2 linked regions of the Alligator mississippiensis genome follow. The protein of the gene in region 1 interacts with the protein of each later gene in a biochemical or structural test. Links are inferred from orthologs where the notes say so. Each region holds a gene or a part of one and is shown in the gene's direction. Other genes may lie near its edges.

Evidence for each region. The genes of interacting proteins can lie anywhere in the genome.
Region 2: the proteins of CDK9 (region 1) and CCNT2 form a complex in vitro, tested with the Homo sapiens proteins (4 studies listed by BioGRID, with this or other methods). The link is inferred for Alligator mississippiensis from reciprocal best matches to the Homo sapiens genes CDK9 and CCNT2.

Annotation. Positions count from the first base shown.
Region 1 is NC_081835.1:57,369,426-57,379,630, reverse strand, and holds the start of CDK9 (cyclin-dependent kinase 9), read left to right. Parts: upstream 1-5,807; 5' UTR 5,808-5,904; coding exon 5,905-5,996; intron 5,997-6,258; coding exon 6,259-6,340; intron 6,341-7,045; coding exon 7,046-7,136; intron 7,137-9,548; coding exon 9,549-9,715; intron 9,716-10,205. UniProt on the Homo sapiens protein: Protein kinase involved in the regulation of transcription.
Region 2 is NC_081827.1:238,103,898-238,114,218, reverse strand, and holds the start of CCNT2 (cyclin-T2), read left to right. Parts: upstream 1-6,453; 5' UTR 6,454-6,591; coding exon 6,592-6,845; intron 6,846-7,609; coding exon 7,610-7,691; intron 7,692-7,703; exon of another isoform or gene 7,704-10,321. Other genes in the region: ACMSD (2-amino-3-carboxymuconate-6-semialdehyde decarboxylase), read left to right, coding at 3,397-3,465. UniProt on the Homo sapiens protein: Regulatory subunit of the cyclin-dependent kinase pair (CDK9/cyclin T) complex, also called positive transcription elongation factor B (P-TEFB), which is proposed to facilitate the transition from abortive to production elongation by phosphorylating the CTD (carboxy-terminal domain) of the large subunit of RNA polymerase II (RNAP II).

The DNA of each region.
Region 1 (10,205 bases):
AGGCCACTTGCAGTCTCCTTGCTTGTCAGGCGATGCCCAACACATGCACAGTTGCAGAGGAGCAGCTGGGCTGGCACAGCTTGAAAAGGCTTGTAACACGATTAGCATTTCCCATGCTGTGTCAGAACCTGGCAGGGCCAGGAGGAAAACCTCAGGGTGAGCGCCGGGGAATGTGTTACTGAGGGGTGAGGGCAAACTAGGGACCAGAGCACAGGAGCTGGAGCAGGGCCTGTACAATATCATTCAGGCTTAGTAAGAAGCTCTTGCTGGTCAGACAGAGGCTCATTCCTCATTAGAGACAGTCTGTGCTTTGGTGTTTGTCCCTGTACATCCCTGATCCCTTTGTAAAGCACTTTGGGATGTGTGGTGTTTGCAGCCCCTGGAATCCTGTCTGGTTCTTTTACTGGACACATATTGTCTCGTCCTGCCCGTCTGCCAGCTCTGCTGGGTTCAATTTACCTTGTAAACAGGAAAAGGGCTTTGCATTTCCATAACACCTTTGGTCTGTGGATGATTGATAAGCAGGAATTCATTCTACCATGCTTTTGTTGAGGCAGCAAATAAGTGCCAATGCCAAGGCACAGAAAGGCTTGGTGACTTACCCAAGGTCCTACAGGGAATCTATAGCAGAATTGGGACTTGTATCCAGACCTCCTGAATCCCAAACCTATGCTTTCAGGAGAAAACCCTCCATTCTGCTTTCTGGGTACACAGTGCCGGTGACTTGATACAATAGTCACCGGCACTATAATAGATACAATAGTCGTGGTATGTTCTGGGCTTTCAAACATATTAATGTTTCTAGGACTCAGGGGCAGCGCTATGTGTATGTCACTGCTATGGGGTGCATTAATCAAGTGAGGGGAGTAAATGAGGAGCGGATGCACTGCAGGGACCTTTCCCATGTATGAGAACGATTGATGGCATCTTTCCCTTCAGCCTCCAAATCTAAACAGCTGCCAAAAGCTACAGAAAAATTAATGGAAGGTTATTTGCCTGCATATCACTCAGAGCTGAAGGCAAGATTGAATTTTGATGGATGATATCCCCATTTGTCAACAAGCTTTTTCCCCCCACTGTTATTGACTCACATGCTTGCTCTGGATTCAGGGGCCTTGCGTTACCTGCCCAGAGTGAAGCAAGCCGTGGAAGGCCAGAGAACCGGGGGGTGCGATTGCTTTGTCATAGTTCACATCAGCCTCGTGAGCGGATGTCTGCATCTCCTGCTGGGATGGTGCGGAGGCAGCAGGGTGGTGCTCTGATTGGGGGTCCTGAGAGCTACATCTTGGTTCACGCTTGTCTGGGTGGCTGTAGGACCCATGTGGTTCTGCAGTACAAGCTGGTGGCAGGGAGGTCACAGAGCTTCAACCTGCACTGCTTGTGCCTGACCGTACCTGCTGTCTGGTTAAGCAGACAACTGCAGAGCCACGGCCCTGGCAGTCCGCCACTTCCCTGAGCTCTGCATCGGCACAAGGGTTGTTACACTGAGCTCTCTGTTTCTGGAAGCAAATTTGAGAGCGTTGCCTCCGCCCCTAGTGCCTCTGCTCATTGTCTGCTCCTGTTTACTGTGTCGCTTCCTGCCAAACTCCCCAGGGGCCATAGAAGAAATCCAGTCCCCGGCCCCTGACATGGGGAAATGATACAACAGGATGGAGCAAAGCAGCTCTGGCGACAAGCGCTTGCCCCTGCATAACAATGAACTCTCTTGGAGCTGACTGAATTTGGTGATATGGGCCCCAACAAGCTGCCCAGAGACCTGCGAGGTGGTGATTCACCGGCACAGTGAGGGTGTGGGCAGCAGCTAGAGCATGACTGTCAGGGGAGCTGCACACTGTGCTCCCTCCCCTTGGACAGTCGCTCATAAACACACACTTTATCAGCTGGCTGTGCTCAGAGGAGCTACTTGTTGTTCTGCATGCACACAGCTCTTTGTCTCCGCAGAGATAGGTGAAGCCCCTGACATCACAAGGACCACCAAGCCAGACAGTCGGCCTTCACGACAATGGGTCAGCAGCTACCTGTGTCCTTCACGGTACCCTCTCCAAGGCACGCACGCACTCTCTGTCATAAGTAGATTCCTTCCCAGCACAGCTGAGCGTGTTTTATCTGCAGGCTTCCAAACACGAGACAGATAGAAAATGTTGTCTTCTCTAGTTTACTTGGAGCGAAAGGGGAACACCAGTAAACATCAGGCACAAAGGTTTCCAGCAAAGGCCATGATGGAAAATTTTCCTCTAAGCGACTTGCCTGAGTCTCTGACCAGCCCCAGGGCAGAGGCAGGATAGAACAGGAGTGCAGACACCCAGTCCCCCTGCTCTTGCTAGAAGGCAACTCTTCCTAGATAAGGCCTTGTCCACACTAGAAATGCTCTGATTGTGTAGCTGAATAGGCCTGCTCTCCTGTTCCAGCAGTTCTCTGAATGAAATAAGCTGTACCAGTTGGATATCGGCATCGGGATTATCCAGAAGCAACATTACTACAGTGGCAGAAGCTTCTGAGTAGAGCTGATCTAATGTCAATGGTGCACTGTATCCTCTATCGCGGGGGTCAAAAGGGTTTTGTACCACTGGTGTGATGGCAAATCACTGTGTAGGGGGGTGCTCGAGGGGCTGTTTCAGGAAGCAAAGGACAGAGAAGACTTTTGCCGGCACAGAACATCCCAGCACAGTGCAGAATTGTGGAATCCTTTTCTCTTGCAGGCAGGTGTCCCCATAGCTGGCGTCATAGAGACTGGTGCAGCCTGTTCGGACACATCCTATCCATCCCCTGGGGCCAGTGCAGGATTGTTCCCTCCACTGTGGATTGCAAATGCTGTGTTTTGGCAGGAAAAGAAGCTTGGGGCAGCTCGCTCCGCTGCCACGTGAGCTGGGTGGGAGTTTCCTTTAGGAAGGTGGAAAGTTATTGTATTCCTTGTGCTGCCTGGAGACTCATCAGGCCTGTTGATTAGAAGTCACTCTCCTTTCCAAACAAATGAGTTAGGACTGACAGGGCTGCCAATATGGTTTCCTAGCGGGGAGGCAAAATCATAAGACGATCACCTCCATACATGGGGCTCTGAGTCCATGGGGCGGGAAGGGACTTGCTGCAGTGGGCAGAGGGCTGTTCCTTCCCTGAGCAAATGGTAGAACAGAAAGGAAATGTGGGGTGATTGGTAAGGATCACTTATCCCTGCTGAGACTGGATAAAGCTGCTGCAAAGTTGTGCTGCCCTACTGGAGAGCTGCAGCCCTGTGGCAGGGGCTGCAGGCTTCCCTCAGTCCCTAACACAACCTGCCCCATTGCTATGTGGATCATCTGTTGAAAGACATGCAGTGCCCTAGCCTGGAAGCTGGGAAATACCAGCAGGTGGTGCCCAGAGTGAAAAGGTACCACTCGGGCAGGCAGAAGGTACCACAGAGCACAGCGTGCTCAGGGGTCAGGCAAGCACAGAGCCTGTGTCCCCGGGACGAGGGCCGGCATGCACCACACTCATCCAGATGACAGAATGGAAAGTCCCAGAGAATTCCTCTCTGATTGATGAATGAAATCTCTTCCTCAAAAATGCTGACTAGCAAAAGGACTGACCAATGAATCTGGAGAACAGCTCAGGTCCCACTTCCAAGATCTTTGTGTTCCTGGAACCCAAGGATATCTGAATCACTTGTGTCAGTTGGAACCACTAATGAATCTAGTGCCATGAGGCTGGGAAAGGCATCTGGGGGGAGGAGGGGGTTCAATTTCTGTTGCCCTGAATTGAAATGAAAATGGTTTCCTCCTTATCTCACTCCAGCTAAGGGGCAGGAAATGGATATAAATCAACATAGTGGAGTCAGAGACACAAGCCTTTATGCCTGCCGAGGCTCTGGCCACAGAAAACATCTGACACAGCTCCCAAAGGTCAGAGAAGAGACAGGGGACAGGGGAGCCACTGGGGCCAGTGTCCAGGCATCATAGAAGGGCTGAGAGGAGCACTGGACGCAGCGTGGGAGGGCTCAGAGAACAGGCAGGTGTTGCAGCAATGGATGCTTATGAAAACTGACCCAAGTGTTGGGCTCTCTCATGGGCACTGTCCAAACTGGCATCTGTTTAGGGCTCTCTCCACTGAGACTCATAGAGGCTATCAGTAAATACTGCTGGTGTGACAGGCTTTTGCTGCTGGTACTCTAACCTGTCTCTTTCTAGCTTACAGACCTGAGAATCATGGAAGAGAAGTGACTCGCCAAAGGTCACACAGTAGGGCAGTTGCAGAGCCAGTTCTGACTCCAGTTGCCTGCTTTACCCACTAATCACTGAGCCCGTCCCTCTCCTTGCCCCATCAGCTGTTTTTCCCTACATCTGTCTCCTCTGCCTACCTCTGTCCCTTGAAAGCTGGGCTTGGCTTTGACGTTTATCTCAGGACTGCTGTAAGAGCTAATCCTTTCTCTGCCTGCCTGCTGCGAATGATCTCTTCTCTTAGCTGTCTCGGAGCCCCCTGCTGGCACTCTGCTTATGTAGCCACCTGTGGCACCCTGACGGCTGCTGCTGCATCCGAGCACGCTGCCAAACTGTAACGTGGGCAGTAGGCAGATGTCACGGCGCTGGCCTCCTGGAGGGGAGCACGGGACGCTATGGAGGTGATTTAACTCAGTGACGCAGCTGGATGCTGCACTGATGCAATGCTGATGTGCCGGATAGAACGAGTGTCCTCTGCATGAGGGCATGAGGGGGTGTCACGGCGTGAAGCAACGATGCTGAGACACAACAGGATGGTTCAGTGTGGCACTGTGACTCAGGATGCGTTGCTGTGGCGTGTAGGCACAGGATGATGATGCAGAGGTGCCTGCGATTACTATTCCTTCTTTTCCTTCCCAGACTGACAAGAGGCCAGAGCCTGGTATTAGGGCCTTGTTACACCTTACACTATGAGCTGCACAAGTATAGATGGGGGGTCAGTGCTGGCTCGGGTTTGGAGCGGTCACACTTCAGGCCGGAGGGGGCCTGGAGGACTGAAAGGTAAGAACCCCCCCTCCCCTTCTGGGCTTCCCCCAGTCCCCTGCCTCTGGGGCTTCCTCCGTTCCCCCCTTGCTTCCCCTCACTAGAGCACTACTTACTTGTAGGTAGGTGGCAGAGAGCAAAGCCCTGCCCTGGCGCTCTGAGCCCCGCGCCACCACGAGCGCTGCAACCCAGCTTCAGGTGCTGACGCGTGGACAATCTGGGGGTTACGAGCCCCAGGAGCCACAAGGCCCTGCCAGACCCTGGGCAGCCCTGGCAGAGGTCCTGCTGGTGCCGCAGGCTCCGGTCTCTCAAGGGTCGGAGGAGAAAGCCCACGACGCTCCCATGAGGGATGAGTATGGCAGGGCACCCGGCGCCCGTCACTGCAGCTGGCACCCATGGGTGAGCGCACCTGGCAATGTACAATGCACTGAGGCTATGCGCAAGCCTAAAGATAGTGGACAGGAGGCCATACACAGCTGTCCCAGGGCTGCTGCAATGAAACAGGGGTGACGTCACAGGGGCGCCTTGACGTCACGCCGCCGTGTGACGACACCCCGGGGGACGCGAGTGCTGGGAGGAGGGGGCGGGGCAGGTGGATGCTCCAGGGAACAGTGCGATGACGTAACGTTCGCAGTCGATGACGCAACCGACCGCGAGGCCACGCGTGCGTCACTCAGCGAGCACGCGGGCCAATCACACACGCAGCGCGGGGCGGGGCAGGCGCGGATCCCCGCCCAATCCGCGCCCGCGTGACGGCCTCTCGATCCGCCCTCTTCTCGCGGCTCTTCCAGAACCATAGCTCCCAGCGGGCAGCGCGGCGGCGCCCCGGAAGTAGTGGAGCATGGCCGGCGGATCCGGAAGCCCCGGGCGAGGCGCGGGCGGCAGCGCGCCGGCTCTGAGCGAGCAGGCGGCCCCGCGGCGGGCCGGGCCGGGCGGCGGTGGCAGCAGCAGCATGGCCAAGCAGTACGACATGGTGGAGTGCCCCTTCTGCGACGAGGTGTCCAAGTACGAGAAGCTGGCCAAGATCGGCCAGGGCACCTTCGGGTGAGCGCCCCCCGCCCCGCCCCGCCGCTCCGGGTACAGGCCCCGGGAGCCCCTCCTGCCCCCGCCCCCCCGGCCTGGGGCCTCCCGGGGCTGCGCGAGCCCGTCCCCGCTGCCCTCCTCGGGGCTTCCTAGGGGCCAGCTGCCCCCTCCGGGCCGAGCAGCCGGCCCTGCCCCGGGTGGGGGGAGGCAGTTGGGTCTGGCTCGCCCTCGCTGGGCTGCGGCCACTCGCGCGTGGCTGAGCGCGGCCTCTTTCGCCCCGCAGGGAGGTGTTCAAAGCCAAGCACCGGCAGACGGGCAAGAAGGTGGCGCTGAAGAAGGTGCTGATGGAGAACGAGAAGGAGGGGGTAAGGCAGGCGTGCGGTGTGTTGGGGGCGGCTAGAGCCCTGTAATACCCCGGGCAGAGTTGTTGGGAGGGTGCAGGTTGTTCGTGGGGCACTTTGCTGCTGGGCTCCGTAGCCACGTTGGTGTCTGTCTCTGCAACGTGTGAGGCCGTTTCCATCCAGCAAGCGTGGTGCGCTCGTATGCAGGGGTAAGGTTGCTTGGTGCTGTACCTCTCTCGTTAGCCTCGTGGCTGCCCTTGCCTTGCGGGACGGACCCCAGTGAGACACTGAAGGGGGTGAGCGCTTTGCTGACCTGGCTTGTGTCCACCACGTGGGTCTGGTCCACCTGTCAAGTCTGAATTGCCAGCAGTAGGGTCAGAAGCAGAATAGATCTGCACCCTTTCCCCATCCCAGGTTAAACTGGGTGCTGTGGAATAAAGGTCTGTTCCCCTGAGGATTTTCAGCACCCGCAGCATTCACCGTCTTTGCTAAGAGCGCTCGGCAGCTCTCGCATCAGTCTTGGTTTGCAAACATGCCTGGAAGGCACCGAGCACAGCTTTGGGTTTCCACCAAGTTGGGCTCAGCGTCTCGCTCTAATTGTATTTGAGGTCTGTGTTGTTTCTGTTTGAGTGTTTCCGCTTTGTCTCTTTAATCCTCTCAAGGGCTCCAGACCAGTCTGATATGATCCTTTGCCATCCTAACCGGTGGGCCTCATTTCTCCTTTTTCAGTTTCCTATCACAGCCCTGCGAGAGATTAAAATCCTTCAGCTGCTCAAGCATGAGAACGTGGTGAACCTTATAGAGATCTGCAGGACCAAAGGTATTGTTTTGTTGTTCCCCTCTTGGCTCATGTCAGCTGCTTTCTGGAGTATCCAGTAACATTGGCCTGCTGGGTGACTGGGTGCACATCGCTTTCCTCCCTTTGCTGCAGTTCCCCTGTCTGCACAGAGAGAGCAATGCTATTGACCCTTTTTGTAAAGCAGTTCAATCCCTACTGGTGGAAAGTGCTGTGTAAGAGCTAGGAGGTGTGCTATTTGTAATGCATCATTCCTACATGAGATGTAAGATAGGAAGTCCAGGGGATCTGGCAAGGCATCAGCTTGTACTTGGTTGTATTGTAACTCATGTAGATGAAGCTTTCATAGACTCCTTTGAAATATTGTGCTACAACAGTGAAAGGCCTGCGTACATATCTGTCTTTTGTATACAGGAAAGCTCATGCTTTTGTGTGTGTTGCCTTAAAATCACACTGGAGAGAAACCTGATGTAAATTTCTTGTCCTGAAATTGATTTTTTTTTTCCTTTTAAAGCATCAATAGATATAAAATATATCTATTCTGTGTTGCTTTTGCAGCAGTAGCTGGATTTATTTAGCACAATACAGGGTGACTATTTAACTCTGGTTTTATAATAGTACTTTGGCTCAGTGTGTTCACTTACTGTTGCTTGGGGAGGAACTGCCTATACTTTAGTAGATGAATTCAATGGCTTTCCATTTTCACAGTGCAGTTCCATCACTTGAATGCCTGCTTGTTCTTTGACTCGTTGTTTTGTGGACAGTTTCTGGCAGGGAGGATGTTGCCTCTTCTCTACAGGACCTAGCATGTAAGGCCACTGGAAGCGAGTAGATAAAAGTTAATTTTTAAAAAGTTTTTAAAATTTTTAAACCAAATATAGGTTTTTGATTTTTTGTTTTCTTTTAAAAATAAACCTGTTTGACATCCTGACAACTTTAATGGATGATGGTAAGCATATGTGCTAAAACTGCCAAGGCTTAAATAAAAATTCAAGCAGTGCCTGCCAGGTGTTGAAATTGTAAAGAAAATCATGCCACTGAAATGATGGAAATCTCTGGTTTAGCCCCTGGAGTCAGTCTGCTAAAGTGCCAAATCGGTTTTTGATAGCATTTCATTCTCTGCACCTGGAGAAGAACATTGTTCGTTTTGGTTCATTCAGCTAGTTCAGTTCACTGACTTGTTTTCAGTTCCCAAATCTGGGCAAACAAGCTTTCTTTCCTATTGCTTTCTTTCACTCTATGGAATGCCAAATAAGGCACTAGAATGAGATGCTAGTTTTTAAATGTTGTAGGGCATAATGGCCAGAAATAATCGCTACTGATTCATAGTTAGTTTACACTAACTAGCTATTGATTCGTTGACCAAATGGATCTTGTTTCTCTCTTTTTTTTTTTTTTGTGCCCAGCAAGTCGGAGGGGACCAACAGACATTGGGGGAGTCCCTGTTCCCCCGAGCACTACCAGGAGTGACTAGAAATAACGGTCACAAGCTGGCAGAGGGTAGATTCAGACTAGACATCAGGACGCGCTGCTTCAGTCAGGGTAGTTAGGATCTGGAACCAACTTCCAAGAGAAATGGTGCTGGCTCCTACCCTGGGGGTCTTTAAGAGGAGGCTAGATAAACACCTTGCTGGGGTTGTTTGACCCTAGTACTCTTTCCTGCCATAGCAGGGGGTCGGATTTGATGATCTGCTCAGGTCCCTTCCGACCCTACCAACTATGAAACTAAGGTTCGGCTAGCTCTATTCGACTAATAAGAAATGGTTGCAAAGTAACTTTGCGTTACTGATTAAGCTTCAGTTTCTGGCTGAATAAATGCAGGGGTTTGGATTCGATGATCTATTGAGGTCCCTTCCGACCCTAACACCTATGAATCTATAAATGTTTACACAAATCATAAAGAAATGTTATTTACCACTTTCTAACAAATTTAAAAATGTAAAACAACTTAAGAACCTGAAAGGTTGTTTACTCCACAACTGTTTAAATGGTTTGTCATCCTTCAAGCACATTTGGTTTTTGTTTTTTCCTTGTGCACCTTACCATGACTTTGACCTTCATGCCTCCTTCTCTGGCCTCTGCTTTTGATACCTTTTATGGATAATCCAGGTGGGAAGACTCTTGGGCCAGAGACTTATTTTTCTGTCTCTTGGTGATGTTTCAGTAATCTCTGTAGGTGACCAGACAAAAAAGGACAGGCAGGTGTGAGGCTGTGTTCAGCCCTGACTTGTGCTTAACTGCCTCTAACATGGATGTGAACATCTTCCCTTTGCATGATATGGTAGTGTTTACCTCAGAATGGTGCTAGCACTGAGGCTGGATAGCATCTTGATGCTGTGGCCTTAGAGCATGGTAATGGGGGAGCTAGTGACCAGTTTCGGGGGGCGCAGTCTTGGTGACTGACCTTTCAGCAGTTGCCCCTGGCTTGTCCCTTAGCCTCCCCATACAACCGCTGCAAGGGCAGCATCTACCTGGTGTTTGACTTCTGTGAGCACGACCTCGCCGGCCTGCTCAGCAATGCGCATGTGAAGTTTACGCTGTCAGAGATCAAGAAGGTGATGCAGATGCTGCTGAACGGACTCTACTACATCCACAGGAATAAGGTAAAGGGCAGAGGCTGGATTCTCTCTCTTCCCTGTAGCTCCAAGGCTCAGATTTCAGGGGCCATTTATGTATCTTTTGATAAATAGGCACCTGAACGCTGGCCACTGTGGTTCTGTCCAGACTAAGTCTTGAGAACATACACTTTTATCATCCCTGCAGAGCTACACAGACAAATTCTTGGCTTCGGGGTTTTAGGTTTTGTGGCTTCTGTACTCTGTGAAGTTGGAAAGCTGTAGTAGAGCAAGCAGTGACCAGTGTGAAAACATAGGGTATATTTGTGGAGAAGGATCCAGCTCTGCAGAATAGTCCAGTGAAACACTGTGCCTGAGGACAAAATGAAAGAGACCTAAGCTCTTGTCTGTCTTCCATGAAAACAACCTGGAGGGCCAAGCACTACAGAAACCATGTAGTTGGGACTTGCCCTGGCCTTTCCCCCTCAGGACTGAGGTATGAGGGCTGACAAAGGGGTGCTTGCCTGACTACACACTG
Region 2 (10,321 bases), on another chromosome or scaffold:
TGAACCAAGGTTCTACTGTTGAAGACAATACCGTCAAAGCAGCATAACACTCCATTGGATGCTTCTACGAGACACTTTACTGTGCAGCAGACTAATTTGCTGTGCAGTAATTAGGGCATAGTACACTAATTTAATGCGTTGCTGGATAGTCCCATCAGATACAAATAGTATCTGGCAGTGCAGTAAATTACTGCATGTGTAGATGGTGACATTGTTTACTCCAGCTCAAATTGAGCCAGACTATTTTTAGTCACGTTAATTGCACAGGTAGACAAGCCCATTAAGGACTACCTTACAGGTACACCAGCTTATCAAGAGGCCTTGAAAGCCATTAAGCAGATGCAGAACAACAAAGCATGTGGTCCTGTTGGCATGCCAGCTGAAATTTATAAACAAGGTAGAAAAAAGCTCTCTTACCAACTGCACATCATTATTATGAAAATATGGAAACATGAAGAGATTCCAAGTGACTTGAGAGATGCCAGAATAATCATTACTATATTCAAGAAAGGTGATAGATTGGATTGCAACAGTTACTGTGGTATTGCACTCTTCTCCATAGCTGGGAAGACCTTCACCCACATTCTTCTCAATAGACTCATTTTCCTCACTGAGGATATTCTACCTGAGCCCCAGTGTGGTTTCACATCACTCAAAGGTGAAATAGATATCATCTTTGCTGCTAGACAGCTGCAGGAGAAGTGTTGCATGAGACACTGAGATCTTTATATGGCGTTCATTGACCTAAGGCCTTTGATTTAATCAACAAATAAGTCCTATGGAAGATCTTGATGAGATTTGGATGTCCGTTAAAATTTGTTACCATCATCAGACTCCTTGTCAAAATGACAGCAAGCAATTCTTTGCTTAGTGGTTTGGAAATGGCCCTCATCATTATTAGAACTGGAGTTAAGCAACGATGTGTGATTACACCAACACACTTTTCCATCTATATCACAGCCATTCTGCATTTTATTGCTGATAGACTTCCACCTGAAATCAGCAACCAATATCATGTGGATGGGAATTTCTTTAACATTAACTGATTCATTTCCAAATCCAAGATAACAGTATTATTCAGCTGACCAGAACAGCATTCTAAACCGTGGTCTAAACCATGCCATGTACAGTGATGCTAGTACCTCCCTGTGTGTACTAAATGCACTCCACCTTATCACTCCAGCATTGTGAAAGTCTTTTTCAGCCTTTCCCATCAGTGGCTCATGGTGATTCTATAATCATTCAATATACCCTCTTTTCCTCAGTTGTCGTCGGTCTAGGGGCATCCCCATCTTACAGCTGAAATCTTTTACAGTGATCCTTAAGTGCATGATTTTGTACCTCATACTATTGAACTTAATTCTATTTCTAAAGCTCCATTCCACAAGGTGATTGAAATCTTCCTCTGTAACAGGGGTACTCAACTTGTGATCCATGGGCCAAATCTGGCCTGCAGAGCAATGGTATCTAGCCTGTGGCGTTCCTCACAGATCACAAAATTTGTCAATGGGGGAATAGTAACAATTAACAAAGCTACCCCTCCCTTGCTACCAAATTCCCAAACCCTTCTCATTCAGGTTGAGGGCTGAGCCGCACTGTCTTTCCCCCATGTGGCTGGATCAAAGCCAAGCTGCCTCCCACCCCACTCCATACAGCTAGACTAGGTCCACTTGTTGGCTCTGGATATAGAACCCGGACCCAGAGGCCTTGTTCCAGGTGGGGACCCACCCTCAGACTGGCAACAACCTCTCCATTCAATAACAGGCAAATTTATTGTTACACAGTGATAACAGAAAAGAAGCAATACTAACAATCAAGCAAGTCTATATATCTACCAAATCCTAGGTCTGTCATCAGAGTCAAAGTACATCTGGCCAGGATGCAGTCTCCACTCTGAGGCTCTTTCTTAGGTGTCAGATGTCCAACAGTCAGGAGGTGGGATGCCGAGGCCCACAGCCCTTTCCAGTGGGGTGGATGAGATGGGCTGCTCATATGCCCTCCATGATGGCCTCAGGGACCCTTCCTGGGGGAGGGGAATCCCTCTCAGGGAGGAGAAGGACAGGGATGAAACGAGGAAGGAGGGAGAAGGGACAAAGGGGGGGATGGACAAAGGGAAGGACTCTTTGTTACTCTCAAGTCTCTGCTTTTGTATCCTTCTTCCCTCTTCATGACTCCTGATGACTCTTGATCCATGGCTATCTCTGGTTGGTTGTCTCTCTGTGGTCACACTTCCACATACTGTATCGTCACCACATTCCAAACTCATCACATGCATACATAGTCATTTGGTCTTTCTGGGCCTTCTCCTAATTTGGTCTGTTCTCCCAAAACCAGGACACAGCTGCCCTCCACCCCCACTCCCTGCTGCTGCTCTGGGGCCTTGCAACTGGTGTCACTTTATTTCATCTTATGGGACAGTATGGTATATGCTCCCAGTTTCCAGGCTGTTTTCTAGACTGGTATCCTTGTTGTGTTAGACAACCTGTCTGCTTCGAGGGCTGTGAGAAACTTTGTGTGTGAGACCCAAGCTCTTTAGAAATCAATTAATCCCTGCTGTCCATCAATTATAATATATCTATCTATACCTATAATCCAATTCCCCAAAAAACAAACCTTTAAATACCATTTCTAAGCCAACACCACTGGCTGGATCCAGTGGCAGAACTGGGCACCGCCCATCTGGTCCACGAGGCAAAAAGAATTAGTGTCCCTGCTCTATAATAACCTGGTCCTTTTCTGCATTGGGAAAATCCTCCAATTGTATTGGAAAAATCACCCAACTAAGTGTCAGGCTTGCCACGGTGCACCTGAATCCACTACAACTGTTTTGTAATTTGCCTGTTTGTAATTTTGGGGGTTATCTTCACTTACTGCAAGGCAGGAATGAGACAAAACAGTGACAGTGGATCAGCTGATATGTGCTCCCAAGCAATGCATCTCCTTCCCCTTGAAGTCCTCTGCCCATGTCCTTTGCTTCCCTACAGGCCCTTGCTAGCAAGCAGGAAATAGTCAGGCCCGTAACATATAAAGTGATAACAGTTTTTTCTCAATCTATAGTATCTCCTTCTCCACACAATGAGATGAAAGAAACCTCATAAGAAAATTCTTCTGTGCTTTCCCACTCCTGATCTCCAGCTTAAAGGCTCTTTAAAAAGTATGTCCATATCTAACTAACATCTATTCCAGCTCTGCACTTGATCCAATAAAAGATATCACTAAAAAGTAGTTGCCTATCTATATGTGTCCTGAACCATCACATCTACAACACTTTAACCCTCCTCCTGCAGAAAATTCATTGGTAAGAGATAAATACAATCCTCTTTCCAGGGCTTAGTTGTTAGCATACAAAATATTTGTAAGGTTCTCTACATAAATACGTCTTCTATTTTTTTTCAGGACAAACTCAAAGCTGGAAATGCTCTGGAATTTTTGGGACTTGATAGAAAACAATTTGTATCACTTTGAAATTACTAGAGAAACCAAACAAGCACAATGGAGCATCTTCTATATATCTACATCAGTGTGTTGTGCATACCTACACACAGGCAAACATATGTTTCTACTATACTAATGTCAAATAAACTCTGCTAATAAATGATTTACTGTTACTGATCGTAAAAGCAAGGGCACTGGAAATCTGGGGATTTCTCTGCATCCTTAGATCTTTGAGGATCCTTCTTTCCTCCAGAATGGGACAGGTCATTGCTTCCAGCTGTTATAACCCACTGAACTTTAATCAGCACTCTTGAAAAGCTAACTCAGAGATTTGTGAATGGCATGCCTTTTCAGTCTTTGCTACCTAGGAAGCCTAATGAACACAGTTTGAGTGCCAACACTTGCCTATATATCACTGCTCATTGTTTCATCAGAAATATCCATATGAATGTGTCTGGGACTATAAGATCTTTAGGGCATAAATCGTGTTCTCTTATTTGTGTGGAAAGTGTTTTGCACATTATTGGCGTTACCAGAATAAAAATAAATAAAGAACAATAAACAGTGTGGTTTGATGTTCCATTCACTTAAAACAGGTATTTCACAGGAGGCTCCATGTTCTAAATAGAAAAACACATTAACATTTTTATCACATTGTACACCTGGGAATTATTCTGTAGGATATGATACCCTTTATCTAGGAAGTCCCAGTGTTCTAGGGTGGTGAAAGGTAGGTTTCCTACATCAACATAGGTTTAATCTATGTTGCTTCTCCAAGAAGTCTGTATGAAAGGCATGAACTTCAGAAGCCCTGAAGGTGTGCAGCACCTCATTAGACCAGGTACTGAGAGTTGGGAATCAGATGTCTATGTAGAGAAGGAAGGGAAAGTGGGTAACGTGACTTTAGTTAACTTTCACCATACTGTGACCTACAAGCCCTTCACTGGCAGTTCATGACTAGAGGACGTGAAAGACAAGGTACACTGTCTTTTCCTTTCAAATGTTTCTGTCCTTTAAAGTTTGTAAGTATATAGCTCTACAATTATTTTATACAAGTCTTCAATTATTTGACTGTTCGACAATTTATCCACCAGGAATTCCAATCAAGGCTGTCTAGGTGGTGACCTATGGGCCACATTCAGTCTGAGTGGGCTAAAATTGTGATATGCAGGCTCCTGCCTGGCTGCCACTCCTCCCACTGTTCCTAATGCTGCAGTGGCAGCCAGTCTTTGGGCAGGGCAGCACAGAAGGGGAAATGCTGCCCACACCCTTGCTGCCCACCAGGTGTAAGAGGGGGCTTTGCTGCTTGCACAGTTAGGGCAGTGAAGTGGAAGGAGAGCTCACCTGCATGGCAGTGGTAGTGGGGAAGGGCTCACATGAGGTGCAGGGGCTGCACATGGCAGGGGTCACAGGAGACTGCATGGCATGAGGCCCCCCGCAGCATGTGGCACATTTAGTGTGCAGCTTGGGCCCTGCATCTGGTGCAGCCTGTGACTCCCAGCTGCTCTGAAGCTGGACAGAACAGCCCTGTTTTAAGAAAACTTCAGTGGGGAAAGAGGCATCTTCAATTTTACACAAGGTCTCTTCCTCATGACCTTCCCACCAACTCTCTTTGCTTCTTTCAGATGTTTGAATGGATTTAGGAAAAAAAATAAATCTTAATTGCTCAAATACATTTTAATCAGATTAATACATTCTTAATTAATTTTCCTTTGCAAAACCCTTGATCTATCATATTAGCGAGACTACAATATTTATGTCTTTTGAGACTGCAGGCTGGAACCTCTCCAATAACAAGAAAACATATTTGATTACATTAAACCGTTACTTAATGATCACAGAATTCTTCACGGTAATTAATTAATGTGGCCTCTGAAGACGTACAGCATCGTGTGTGTTAGATATAAAATAAGATCTATTACTGAATAAAGCTATTTATGCTCGATGCCTCTGGCTCGGATTTTGCAGCCTGCGGGGCAATCCTCTATCTCCTCTTTTTTAATATATAGTTTAACGCGAATATTATGTAAATGGATCTTGAAGAGAAAAGGAAGTTTGCAAAATAATTATCCCAAGTACAGGCAGTCCTCAGACTTATGACACAATTGGTTCCTGAAAACCGTGTCTTAAGTCGAAACGTCGTAACTCGGAACCGATTTTCCCATGGGAAACAACGTTATAAATGGGGACGGGTTCCTGAGCCAAGGCCCGATACCCTATTTTCACCCAAAACAACCCAGAATTTTGTATTTAATCAATTATAGATGAGTAACGTATTTATATTGCAAATAGCAATCATATTGATTTGGAAGGACTTCTTTGAGGTGACTTGGCTGGGCCTTTTGACGGGCTCTTGGTTGGACGTTTTGAAGGACTCTTGGCCCGAGTCTCCTCGGGAATCTCGGCTGCAGGTTTTTCCGGCGTCTCGTCCGCTTTCTTAAAGAAAAAGCGTCCAAGGAAGCTTGCACAGACGTTCTCTGGGGAGACGGACGCTGCGGCAAACTTGTTTGCAGACGCCCGATCCAGAGTCAAGTCGAACCTTACGTCAGAAAGCCGAAACGGGATGGGTCTGAAGAGCAACACGTCGTAACTCGAAACGATGCAAGTCGAGGACCTCGAACGACATGCACCCGACGCGTTATACCACTTCCACCAACAAGTCTCCAAGGAAGCGTTAATCTGATTGCAATACAACAGCTGGAAAACTTCCTGTGTCCAAGACGGGAGTTCCCAAAACTTCCAGGTTGAAAAGATGAGCAGCAAGGCTACCCCCACCTCCCTGCTCCTCAGCCCTCTGGGCTCGAGGCCCCGCCTCCAAACATCAAGGGCGGGGCCCCGGGGGCGGAGCCAGCGTCAGGACAAAGACCGCGAGGCCAAGCCCCGCCCCCTGCCTCCGCGAGTTCTCCCTGCCCAATCCGCGCTGCGGAAAAAGGGCTTTAACGTCATTTCCGGAGCCTCTTCCAGCCCCCACCCCTCGCCGGCCGAGCGGGCGGGAAGAAAGGGGGGGAAATGCCCATGCTCTTCCCGCGCTCTGTATGGCGCAGCCGTGCCACGTGACCGTCCCTCTCCGCGCGGCGCTCTGGCCTCGCTGCCTCGCCACTCTATGGTGGCAGCGGATTAGACCGCCGCCGGGCGCCGAGTTCTCGCGAGAGCGGCATGGAGGGCGAGGCGGCGGGCGGGGCGGCCGGAGCTGGCGGAGGAAGTGTCATGGCGGCGGCGGGGAGCGGGGCGGGCGCGGCGGCGCGGGGTGGCGGTGGCGGCGGCTCCAGCACTGCGTCGCGCTGGTTCTTCAGCCGGGAGCAGCTGGAGAGCACGCCGTCCCGGCGCTGCGGCGTGGAGGCCGACAAGGAGCTCTCGTACCGGCAGCAGGCGGCCAACCTCATCCAGGACATGGGCCAGCGCCTCAACGTGTATCCGCCGGGCCGGGCCGGGCCGGGCCGCAGCCTCCAGCCGCTGCTGGCTGCGGCCTCGCGGGAGGGCGGGGGCAGTGTGTGGCGGAGGAGCCCCGGGGTCGGGTTTCCTTGGCCTGCTCGGGCCTGCGGGCAGGAGGCTCCGGCTCGGCCCCCAGGGCTCTCCCTTCCCCTCAGCCGTCAACGCTTTCATTAATATTATGAGGATTGTCTATCTGAGGCAGCAGCAGCAGCACCCAAAAAAAGGCCCCGCTCTTGCCTGCTGGTTGCTGCAGCTTAATAGAGGGAGCCGAGCTTAAACAGGTGCTCAAAATACTCCTGGAGGCGAGGAGTCTCCTTCCCGTGGCAGCTCTCATGTGCAGCCCAACGAAGGATGGGGATGTTTTGGGGTTTTTTAGACGAAGCCTTGGCTCTGGGATGATGTAGCTGGGTCTGGCCCTGCTTTGAGCAGGGGGTTGGACTGGATGTGACTTCCCGAGGTCCTTTACAACCCTTGTTTTGGCCCAGCATTCGGAAGAACCCAGGGATCCTCTGAATGCTTGGCCAATGGAAAGCATAACATACAAAAAGGAACTTATCGCTAGATGTTAATGTACAAGGCACTAGCACGAGCGTGTTGTACCAGTGGTGTGTCCCAGCCGAGCAGAGCTGGCTCGAGTTACGTCCCCAGGAGGGACGTGTTGTAGGGGAGAGTCGTGGCTTGATGATGATCTTAATTTGTTACTCCTTTGGTGATGTGAAATTTCCTTAATGCTGTCTTTCAGGTCTCAACTTACAATAAATACTGCAATTGTTTACATGCACAGGTTTTATATGCATCATTCCTTCACAAAATTTAATAGGAATGTAAGTACATTTTTGCATGCCTATCTGTGCTTGTGTGTGCGTGACGTGGAGGGAACAGCCGACTTTTTTTTTTTTCTATATGTGCTAACTCTTGGAGGTTAAAGTCTCATTATATCTTGGGAGATTGTAGCTTTGTGTCAACCGCTATTTTAGAAGCATTATTATTTAAAATTAAATAATTTTATTTAAATAAATAAATAAATACATTTTATTTATTTAAAGCAAAGACTAATGATTTCTCTTGTTATGCTAAAGAATAAATGTATAGGCCAACAGCTTAGCTTGTATTAGTTGCTGGTATTAGTTATTGTATAACTTTTATTTTAATTATGCTTATCTGGCTAGTGTTAGTGCCTTGTAGTTTTGAAAATTGGATATGAGATCTGAGGTCCCTTTCTACCCAAATTTTCTATGATTCTGTGAGAACAAACAATACATTGCTTACTTTTGCGCACATATCATGACCAGCCAGCAGAATTATTGTTGGCTTCTCTGTTTATAAAAGCCACCATTAAGTTATGTAACAACTGGCCTTCCTCAAGTAACTTAATGGCCAGTAATAGTAGAAAATAAAAATCCATTCTTGCAAGCAGGCCCAGTTATCTTGTGAATAACCTACCAGGTAACTTGATGTTAAATCTTTAATAAAAATTAAAAATAAAAATCCTGGTTGTAACTGAGTGTTTTAACTCTTACTGGTTGGTGTCATAGCTTAAGATTCTGATTAATGTGAAATCACAAACCTATTTTTCACGTCAGTTGTATGGGCTGTAAAAGTAAAAAAAAATATTGACTTGGTGGTTTCTTTGTATTAAGAAACAGCATTTTTTTTATATTTGTTTGTATCCCATGTATAAAAATAGTTGATAATGGAAGGAAATCTGTTGCTTGAGTGGTAAGGAAAGGCCTTGGCTACACCATAAAAAAGTTTTTGGGGCGGGGGGGGATGTTTTTGGTTTTTAAGGCTGATGTGAAATGTGTTTTTATTTTGGGTTTGTTATCAAGTTTGTTTTTATTTTGTTTGTTTTTGTAATTTGTGGGCATTGAAGTAAGAAATACTCCATGTCTCTTCATAGAACATTGGTGATTCCCCAGACAAATTTCACAGCCATCCTGAATTTTTTTGCCACAAGGAAGCCTAAGGCGAATTTGTAGTAAACTGGTTACTAAACAGTTGCAGTGTGTTTAGGCCTTAGTTACAAATAATATATTTAAGGCTCTGTTTATATAACAAGAATAATTGTCTAAATGCAGTTCTGGGATGTGATTGTCCCTTGTGCTTGGACACTACTACTTGAATGAAGAAAAGTGATGCCCTGAAAATGCTAGGGAGGAGGCAGTCTGTTAAGTGCTAGGAGGACATGCCTAGATTAAAATGTCATTCCCTAAAATAGTTTTCTATTTTCAAGGCAAGTAAAGTGTTAAAACAAGATTAGGACACACACATTTATCACAATAGCATATAAGCATAGTATATTTTGGTAGATACAAGTTAATTATGGGTGTCTTGTAGATCCTTTTAAAGGCACTAGAAACTATGTACGTCATCCATCTTCCTTATTACGATGGATAAGTGTATAATCTGAAAAATGCCAGCATGTGGAGCATTAGCCAGTAAGATGTCAAAATATGTTTATGGCTCCTGTGTACAATTTATAGCTCTTCCAAATGAGGCAATTTCACTTGGAGTGGTGGTTTTCTTTAACATATTGTTTCCACAACTCGGATTGGTGGTGTATGGGGTAAAGTAATCCATTGGATAACAAAAAAAAAAAAAAAAAAAATCTAGTAACAAAATTCAGGCTCAGTAGTAGTTGGGATGGTTGTCAACTGCCATTTACTACACGTTAATAAATATGGTCACTTAGTTCTTGCTAGTACAACTAATTTTGTAAGGAGAGCTGCATTAAATAACTAGTGGTTTGAATGATAATTCAGGTTGCAAGTTACTCTTGGTTGTAAATATGGACATTTTTATATTGCTCTAAAAGTTAAACACTAGCACATTCTGACCTTCAGAACACCTGTCTTAGTGTTGTTGCCAGATAACTTAGCATTTGCTGTGCCTGTAATATCAGACAGTGGCTTTTATATTTGTGTTGATGCACGGGCATCAAATGCGCTGCTTTATTTTTGTTCTTTTTCTATTCTTTTAGGGTGAAGGGGGTGGTCTCAAAGAGAATGCAAGTCAGATTTAAATTCATACTCCCAAGCCATCTGGCAAGTTCTTTATAGAAGGGCAGAGGCCAAAGACCAAAATAAATACTTATCAAAATCTTCTGAATGCTTGGCCAGTTGAAAGCCAAACATTCACTCACTGCAAGAAGAAATTTATCACTAGATGTTAATGTACAAGGCACTAGCAATCTTCAAAGTAAGGTTAGCGGAGTTTCTTACAAGTATGTGTCTAATTGTTCTTGTACATGCACTGGGACTGTGGGCAGACCATGACAATACACTATTTTAAGCAGGAGAGGAGGATGCAACTTACTGTTCAGGAGTGAATGAAGCACATCTAAAATTAACAACAGTTTCTGTCCATTAATACCAATGACCTGGACAGATGAAATTGTCTCATTGCTTCCACATGACTTGTGGTAATTGTTTTCATTTGTCTGTATCCTTTGCTG